Linked DNA regions of Ovis aries. The protein of the gene in region 1 interacts with the protein of each later gene in a pairwise test. Links are inferred from orthologs where the notes say so. Each region holds a gene or a part of one and is shown on either strand. Other genes may lie near its edges.

Region 1 (3,803 bases):
TCTGTACACCTGCACGCCATTCTGGCAAGCAGCCAGGGAGGGGAGAGAAGACTGAGAAATCTTAGGCGCTGAGCACCTGTCGTGGAGCAACGGAACACTACCTGGAGGGACTATTTAAGCTCTTGGTTCGGACTATGGTTTAAATCAGAATGGACATTTATTTGATTTTTTTTTCATCTCTCTACCCAGTGGGTGGCAGCTCTTACAGGAGATTAAGTTAAATAGACGAACGAAAGAAACTACATTTTCCCGGAGTAAATAAGTTGTGTGAGTAAAACCGTCAGCCTTGCAAGCGTTTCCCCCACCCCTTTGTGTCTGACGCCTCTTAGCTCTCAGTCCAAGACCAAGACTGTGTACCAAGCCACCTCAGCCGGTAGAAGCTAAGATTGCTAGGTTGTAGTTGAAATAAAACGGCCACATAATTTGTCATCTGGGACGCTTGAGAGTGAAAGGGGGTACAATGAATAATTATGCTGGGACAAAAGACCAAAACGGGGACTGTCCCAAGTAATCCAGGCCACGTGTCATCCGACTACAAAGCAAGCCCCAGGAGGCGGTGGGAAACGAGGACTGTGCCGTCGGTCAGGCTTCCCTGGGAGCCCAAGTACTTCACAGCCCAGGATTAGCCAAGCGGCTCTGAAAGACACAGCACAGAGTGAGCCGGAATCCAGACAAAGGAAAATGAGAAACAGGCACACGTGTGTGTGTGTGTGCGTGTGTGTGCGTGTGTGTGCACGTGTGCGCGTGTGCGTGTGTGCGTGTGTGCGTGTGTGTGTGCATGTGTGTGTGCGCGTGCGTGTGTGTGCGTGTGTATGCGCGTGTGTGTGCATGTGTGTGTGCGCGCTTGTGTGTGTGCGCGTGTGTGTGTGTGCGCGCGCGCGTGTGTGTGCGCGTGTGTGTGCGTGTGTGTGCGCGCGTGTGTGTGTGCGTGTGCGTGTGTGTGTGTGTGTGTGTGAGATGCATGCGCACGCGTATCTGGCAGTCGGTCTGATGGTGTCCCTGTGAAGAAAGTAACTAATGAGCCCACGGCTCTTTGTGAATGAGGCTCCTTGTGAGCCACAGCGCCTCCCTGGACGGCCACCACCGGATAACTGGGCCCGGACCTGCTCACTCACCTGGTACTGGGGGAAGGTGGAGGGGTTTGTGAACACGGGCGGAGGTGCGTAGTTCAGGTTGAGCCAGAGGGGCTGGTTCAGAGTTGCTGAGGTCAAAGCGGTGGCAAAGCGTGGGGTGAACACGTTCCCCGTGTACTTGAGGTTGTTCTTGTCGGCCCCGGTCACAGGTGGGTTAACTGTAAGTCACAGGAGAGGTAGAACGTTTCGTGATTGAGGAAGGGAGAGGCCAGCCTGCCCCAGCTCCATGACTGCCCCCAGAGTTAGTGTTCTCACCAGTCAGGTATTTTAAGGCTCCCAGAGCGTTCTTCAAAGCTCAAGGAAAACACTGTTAGTTCACATCTTGCCAACGTGGAAGGGGTGAGAGGCCCAGCATGGTCTGCCATGGAGCATCTCCTTCACGACTCACAAGTAAGGAGGCAGTTTAGCAAGAGATACAATCAACCAGCTTGTCTCACCTACGTGCAAAACTATATTCCTTCAAGTGCTTCGGAAAAATCCAGTTTGATACAAACAATTGCTACGCTGTGGGAAGCCATTCTTATCAAATTGTTAAAGCACCCCACTGGGGACATGCACTTGGCAACAGCGAGGACCTTATGTAGGTGTTGCATCTATGCCAGAGTCATTTTTTAAAAATATTTAAAAATATTATATAATCCCCTTTGGTAAGATCCCAAATTAGTCTGAATGAATGATATTTGATGGAGTTGTTTCAGGATATGAATCCTGGATTCTTTCCTTCTATAATATGTCCTGTGGGATTAAGAGTTAGAGATGGGGTATCAGTGTCCCCTTTTTAGCACCTTTTGTTGAGGGGAGAATGTTTTACTAAAACAGTTTTAGATGTACAAGGGAGAGAAAGCTGAGACGTGAATAATCGAAATGTAGAAATGATCTTTTTTTTTTTTTTCAAAATGTAGAAATAATCTTAAAGCACGGGATTTTCTTTGGCTCAGGCAACTTGAGGGGACATAAGACATGCTGAGTCAGGGCTATATTCAAATTAACCACCAATAAGGCCCATGTGACCCCTGAAAGTCAGCTAGATTTCTTGAGCTCTTCCCTGTAGGGGTGACACAGGAAGAAAGCCATTTCCCCATTTTACAGGACTAGGGAAAGACAGTGACCTGCCCATGGATGACAGCCGTTTGAGGACAGAGCTACTCCAGGGGCCTATGAGGGTTTCTGAAATCCCTTCCTGCATAGACTCTCTTCCTGCATAGAGAGATCTGGGCAGGGTCAGCTTACGTTTCAGCTCCAGCCTGTCCACCTCCACTTTGCCACGAAGTTTCAGCTGCCCGCTTGGGTTCTTGGTGGCCCCAAGGACCTCATAGAGCAGGTTCTTCTCAGCCTGCCAGGCAGGCTTCTTGGCCGGCAGAGCCATGGGGTCACTGCCACCCTCCTCACCACAGGTGTCCTTCCGGCTCGGGGACCACTGGCTGAGAAAGAGGCTCTCTCGGCCCCTGGTCAGCTCCTTGGCACCTGGGTTCCGTTCTAGAGCAGGAGAGAAGCTGAGTCAGTGACTCTGGAAGACCACATGCTGGATGGGGGGAGCATGGTCTTGTGGACAAAGTCATGGATCCTCCGCAGCACACCTGAGACTCCCACCACTCTGGGCTCTCTCTCAACCAAGTTCAGTCCAAGTCCAGTCCCTGAAGCCTTCCCTGACCAGCGCCCATGACGGTCTCACACCCTTGCATGCATGAATGCATTCATCCATTCTTGTCTTCTTCCGTCTGTCCACCCATCCATCCATCCTTTTACCCACCCATCCATCTTTCCTTCCTTCCATCCACTCATCCATCCTCCCTTCCCTAATCCCATTCTCTCCTCCTTAAAAAACTTCCTCCCTTTTAGTTCCCTCTCTTTCCTTACCTTCTTTTCTTTCTTTTCTTCCTTCCTCTTTTCCTCCCTGCCGCTTCTTCCTTTCTCCCTCTTTTTGCCTCCCTTCCTTCCCTCTAACCATTTGTAGGTTGGATCACAAAGGTTCCGGATAGTTCCTGTCTTCAGGGAGCACACTTGGCTTAGTGGCGGTGGGGGGGGGGGGTGGTTGGCGCAGACACATTCCCACACAACACGCAGCTGGTCCCTTGTCAGAGACTCTCCTCTTGCTAAGTCGTCGTGGCGATTCAGCACACTCATCAGCGCCAGGCTCTGACCTGAGTCCTGGGGACACTTGGATGAGTCAGAGCCAGACTTGGCCCAGCAGGAACTCACAACACGGAGGAAGAGAGAGACAGACCCAGAAATAGCTCCGGGACAAGGCAGATGGGGACCGTGAGGTGATGGAGGGACACAGCGGGGGAAGAGGGCGGCTGAGACAGCTTCTGTCTGAGGACCGGAGGGATTCCAGGAGGAGGAGGTCTGCAGCGAGGCCCTGCACCCAGAGCCATGGGTGACCGCAGGCAAAGGCACAGAGGCACGAGTGAGCCACTGGCTGCTGCCGGTGCCAGGCTCAGCTCTCTCTCTCCAAACAGACCAAGTCTCCCTTGTGCAAGGACACTGCCTAGACCACCAAGGATCCCCCTACAACAGTGGCTTTTCACCCGATTTTCCTTTTGAGCGATGGAACTCTTTCTTCCAACAAAACTCTTTCTTCCAACAAAGTATGGCAGGGGGATGCACCATACTGCAAGCGTAAATACATGGTTCGTGTATGCTCAGTTACGTCCGACTCTTTGTGACCCT
Region 2 (4,594 bases), on another chromosome or scaffold:
CATCCACCCCTGGACAAGTGAAGGCACCCTTCCCTGTTCACATGTCCTCCGCCAGCCCCTCGCCAGTGGCCACAACTCCAGGCATCGGATTAGACAAGCTAGCACCACTGGCTTCAGTGGAAACTAGGATTCCTGGCCCCGGTAGCCATGACGGTGATCATAACTCACAGATGTCTGCTTCCCCAGACCCACCAGGGGCAGTTCCTGCTTTGGCCTCTGCAAAGCCGGATCCAAAATTAACTGAACCCCGTCTGGCTCCTCCCGGGCAGGCAGCGTGAAGGCAGGAGCCTTATAAACAGGGTGCATGCCAGGCTTCCCGCCCTCCCCGGCACAGCTGACTTGCAGAGAAGAAAGACTCTCTTCCCACCAGGAGAAAGGCCTGTCTAGGCCACTGTCTCCCGGGCCCCAAACCTCCATGTCTGGAAATCTGTCTTCACTGGCTGTTAAGCAACCAGAGAGCCTCTAAGGAAAAGTGTGAACTTGGGTGGAAAATTCTGGAAAAGCTAAGCCTAGTGGGAACAAGAGAGAGAGAGGAACTACTGATGTGTTTCAAACCGGGTAAGTACGAGACCTCTCAGTGACCCGCATGGCTGGACTAATTACCAATGTTATCAGGCGGATGACAGACGTGCCCCGAACTTCCTCTGTTTGATAGATTCCGCTGCACACACACTCAAGTTCAGGCCCATGCCTGCTGCTTTCAGCAATGCCCTATTCTTCCACAGGACCACTCGGCCCCCCAGCTCCTCTGGCCTGCCCCAGGCCTCTGAGCTCGGCTAGCATAGCAGGGTGACCCGAGAGGGCCCCTCCTGCTGGAACACAGCACACAGAATCAGTGCAAACTGCTCCCCGGCAGAATAGAAAACATCTCTTCTTTCCCTGCTGGGGTTTCAGAGGATGACTGAAGACGGCTGCTTACCTTCCTCGCAGCTGCCACTGGGGAGCTCCAGCCCACGGGTGCCTGGCGGGGGAGCCCCTGGCCAGCGCACACCAGGGTCCCGCATTCTATGCAGGCACCGATGACCAGCTGCCGCCCGTCATCCACTAGCAGGCTGTGGCTCGCTCGCAGGGTGTAGAGAAACAAGGGCAGCCGGGCCACCCGCACGGCCTTCAGCCCGAGACACCGCTTCTTCTCCTGCTGGCAGAAGAAGCACACGAATGTCTCCACGCGGTACTGCCGAGACCAGGGGCTGACGGCATGGTGGGCACTGCGGGCCTCGTGCTGCAGCCACTGGCCCAGCAGGTCATGGTAGCAGAGCACACAGGTGGCCACCAGGCCGGTGGCGTCGGCCGGCCTGGCACGCGGGGCGGGTGGATAGACGGTGAGAAAGGGAAAGAAGGGCTCCTTCTCACCCAAGCGGCTGGACGGGTTCACGTTGAGCTGGAACTCCTTCCCGGGGCCCAGCTCAGCCCCACAGATGTAACAGATCGATGCTGGGCTGCCCTGGGCCAACAAAGGCGGCTCGGAGAGAGTAGGGTCCGAGGCAGAGAAGGCCTGGTGGTACCTGCCCAGGAAGCCCTGCACTGAGGTGATGAGCTCCTCGTTCTGGCAAGCCCGATATAGGGCCCAGACATCCTCCAGGACGCTGAAGCACTTGGGGCAGCTGCGGACTTCACAGCGCTTGTTGGGGCCCTGGGCATTGGGCGGGCAGGGCAGGAGGCTGAGGAAGGGGAAATGCATGGAGGCCCTGGCATTGCCGTTGAGGCTCCTGGAGGCCACAGCCCGGGCGTCCTGGGTGCAGTCCTCCCCGCAGAGGTAGCAGGCCTCCGGCAGGGACCCGGTGGGTGGGCCTTCTTCCCTCAGGAGCCGCCTGCCCTTGGAGGCCATGCCTGGGGCGTGGCTGTTCAGGGGCACCACGTAGAGCCGCTGCAGGACAGGCACACTGGCCAGTTCGAAGCTCTGCCATTGCTGCATGAGGGATGAGAAGCAGCAGGGGCACACCAGGGTGCTACCACCTTCGCTGATGGGCTGTGCCCCCGGAGGAGGGCTGTGCAGCCATAGGAAGGGGAAGAAGGGGGCCTGGGCCAGCTTCTCCTGCTTCTGCACGTGGATCTGGTGCTGCGAGGCTGGGGACAGCGCTGACCCACAGATGTAGCAGCAAAGGCCCTCTGGTGGTGCTGCCCGGCTCTCCGGGGGAACCCGGGGTGCACAACCACTACCATTTTCCTTGTCTTTGGGGCCTCGGGGTCCTGGGAGAGGCTGCTCCTTGCGGTCCTCCTCCTCGCTGGTGATGTTGATGTCACTGTCCTCAGACATGCAGTAGCCCCCACGGCTCTCCCCCAGTGGCCTGCTCTCAGGAGTCTTGGCGACCCTGCCCAAAGGAGCTCCTTTTGTGCCCTCTGCAGGGGCCACCTGGACTGAAGGCCCTTGCCAAGGGTCCTGAACTCCCCTCAGGACGCTGGCCCGGGCTTCTGGGACCCAGTGCCTCCCGGGGCCCTTCCGCCGGCGCCGGATGCCGGCCTTGGGCTCCCCATCCAGGCGGAGCTTTGAGGGGACTCCCTCCTCTTCCACATCCCCAGACACCGGGGTCTCCGCACCCTGTCCTGGAGAAGGTCCCAGCGCCGGCCTCCACTCCAGGCAGCGGCCACCGCGAGGCCCGGGCCCCGGGGCGGAGCGCGCAGCTGGCGCCCCATCCTGGTGGGGACTGGGGGCGTCGCGCGCCGCCGGGTCGGGCTCAGATAGGGGGTCAGTGTCAGACAGCTCCGACAGCTCCGAGTCTCGAGGCTCCTCGGCAGCCGCGCGGGGCCCGGGTCCGCCGCCTTCGTCTTCGTCGTCCGCGCCGCCCAGCGCGTAGGCGACGTTCCACTCGCGAGGGGCCGCGGCGCCCCCGCGGCGCCCGCCCGCGCCCGCGTCGCACTGGTGGGGACGCTTGAGCCAGTACATGCGCTTGTCCACGGGCGTGCGGGCGCGCTCGAAGGCGGCCCACTGCTCGCCCAGGAAGCAGCGGCAAACGGCGCACACCAGCACGCAGCCGTCGGCCGGGGACAGCTCGCGCGCGCCGGGCGCGGGCTCCTGCTGCTGCAGGAACGGGAAGAAGGGCTGCGCCGGGGCCCCCGCGCCCGCCACCGCCGCCGGCTGCTTCACCTGCAGCTTCAGCTCCTTGCCGCGCCCGATGCCGCCGCCACAGATAAAGCAGGAGAGCGGCGCGCCGCCGCCGCCCGCCGTCCGCTCGCCCACGGCTGCCATAAGCCGCTGCTTGCGGGAGACCGGCGCCGGCCGCCCGCTCATGGCCGCGCCGCGCCGCCCGCCCGCCCCGGCCCCCGCGCGCCCGGGGCGGCCCTCACCGCCCGCCGCCGCGCCCAACTTGGAGCATGTGTGCGCGCCGCAAAGTTTGGCGGCGGGCACGGGCGCTCCACCGCTCGCAGAGGCGCCCCCCCGGCCAGCCGAGCCCCCGGCGGCGCCGCGGCGAGCGCGCCCGGAACGCAGCAGCGGCGGCGGCGGGCTCCGGGCGGCTGGAGCGGCAGCCGCATGTGCGAGCTCCGGCGCCTGCCAAAGCGTTGGGTCATTTAATTGGGGAGGAGGGAGGCGGGGCGGCGGGCGGTGCGCAGGGAGGAGGGGAGGAGGAGGGGAGGAGGAGGGGAGGAGGAGGGGAGGAGGAAGGGAGGAGGAGGGGGAGGAGGAGGGGAGGAGGAGGGGGAGGAGGGGAGGAGGAGGGGAGGAGGGCGGGCGAGAGGAGGGAGCGCGGCGGGTGGGGAATCCCTCCTCGCGCTCCCTCCCCTCTGCCCTCCCTCCTCCCCTCTGCCCTCCCTCCTCCCCTCCTCCTCCTCCTCCCCTCCTCCGCCTCCCCCCCCCCACGCCCCCACCCCACCCCCACCCCCCTTGTCCCAAACTGCGCACAATAGCTCGCTGGCTCCTCTATCTATTTTGTGTCCAGCCGGGAGCCGCACTCGATGATTCATTGCCCCAATTAGGGGCTCTCTCCAGCGTGCCTGACTCTGGCCGTCTGAAGGGTCTCCTCGGGGGGACCCGCAGAAACCCATCAGCCGCTAGAGCTGGTCTTTAAGTAAAGGTCAAGCAGGACGCAGCCGGAGCCAGGTAAGGACGCAACCGGCATCCCAGGAGACAAGGGAGGGCTGCTCCCTCAGCCCCTAAGTAGGCAAGCTGCCGAGTAAGCTGGGGGACCCCTGCCCCCTCCCCATTCTAACGGGCCCTTTACAGCCTTGAGGAGGCCCGGGTTGGGGGCACCTTTCACGGCCCAGGGTTCTAATTCTGGTGACAGAGGTAAGAGGAGCTGTCCCCTGTCTCCTGGGACATATTAGAGAATGCACCATCCTGGGGACAGACTCCTTAGCCTGCCACACCCCCAGCCCACTGCTTGGCAGGGGCAAAAAGGGTCCTGTGTGTAAGGGCTGTGTGTTCCAGGGCACATGACTCAACAACTCTGGGCCCATTTTTCCTCTTGTTAGACAGAAGCTCTGGCAGGGGGTTAACTGTTTCCATGTATTTACTGTACCTATGTATAGATACATGTATTTATTAAACACAGAAACAGAGACCTTAGTACGTGCCAGGGGCAGAATCTAAGTACTTTACACACATCCCCTCAGTCGCTCCTCCCAATAATTCTGCATTAAGTGCCATGATCAGCCCATT

Evidence for each region.
Region 2: the proteins of C1H1orf94 (region 1) and GSE1 interact in binary tests that used the Homo sapiens proteins (3 or more experiments, as listed by UniProt). The link is inferred for Ovis aries from reciprocal best matches to the Homo sapiens genes C1orf94 and GSE1.

Annotation. Positions count from the first base shown.
Region 1 is NC_056054.1:9,141,485-9,145,287, reverse strand, and holds part of C1H1orf94 (uncharacterized protein C1orf94 homolog), read right to left. Parts: intron 2,610-3,803; coding exon 2,364-2,609; intron 1,292-2,363; coding exon 1,116-1,291; intron 1-1,115.
Region 2 is NC_056067.1:10,798,205-10,802,798, reverse strand, and holds the start of GSE1 (genetic suppressor element 1), read right to left. Parts: upstream 3,066-4,594; 5' UTR 2,885-3,065; coding exon 920-2,884; intron 1-919.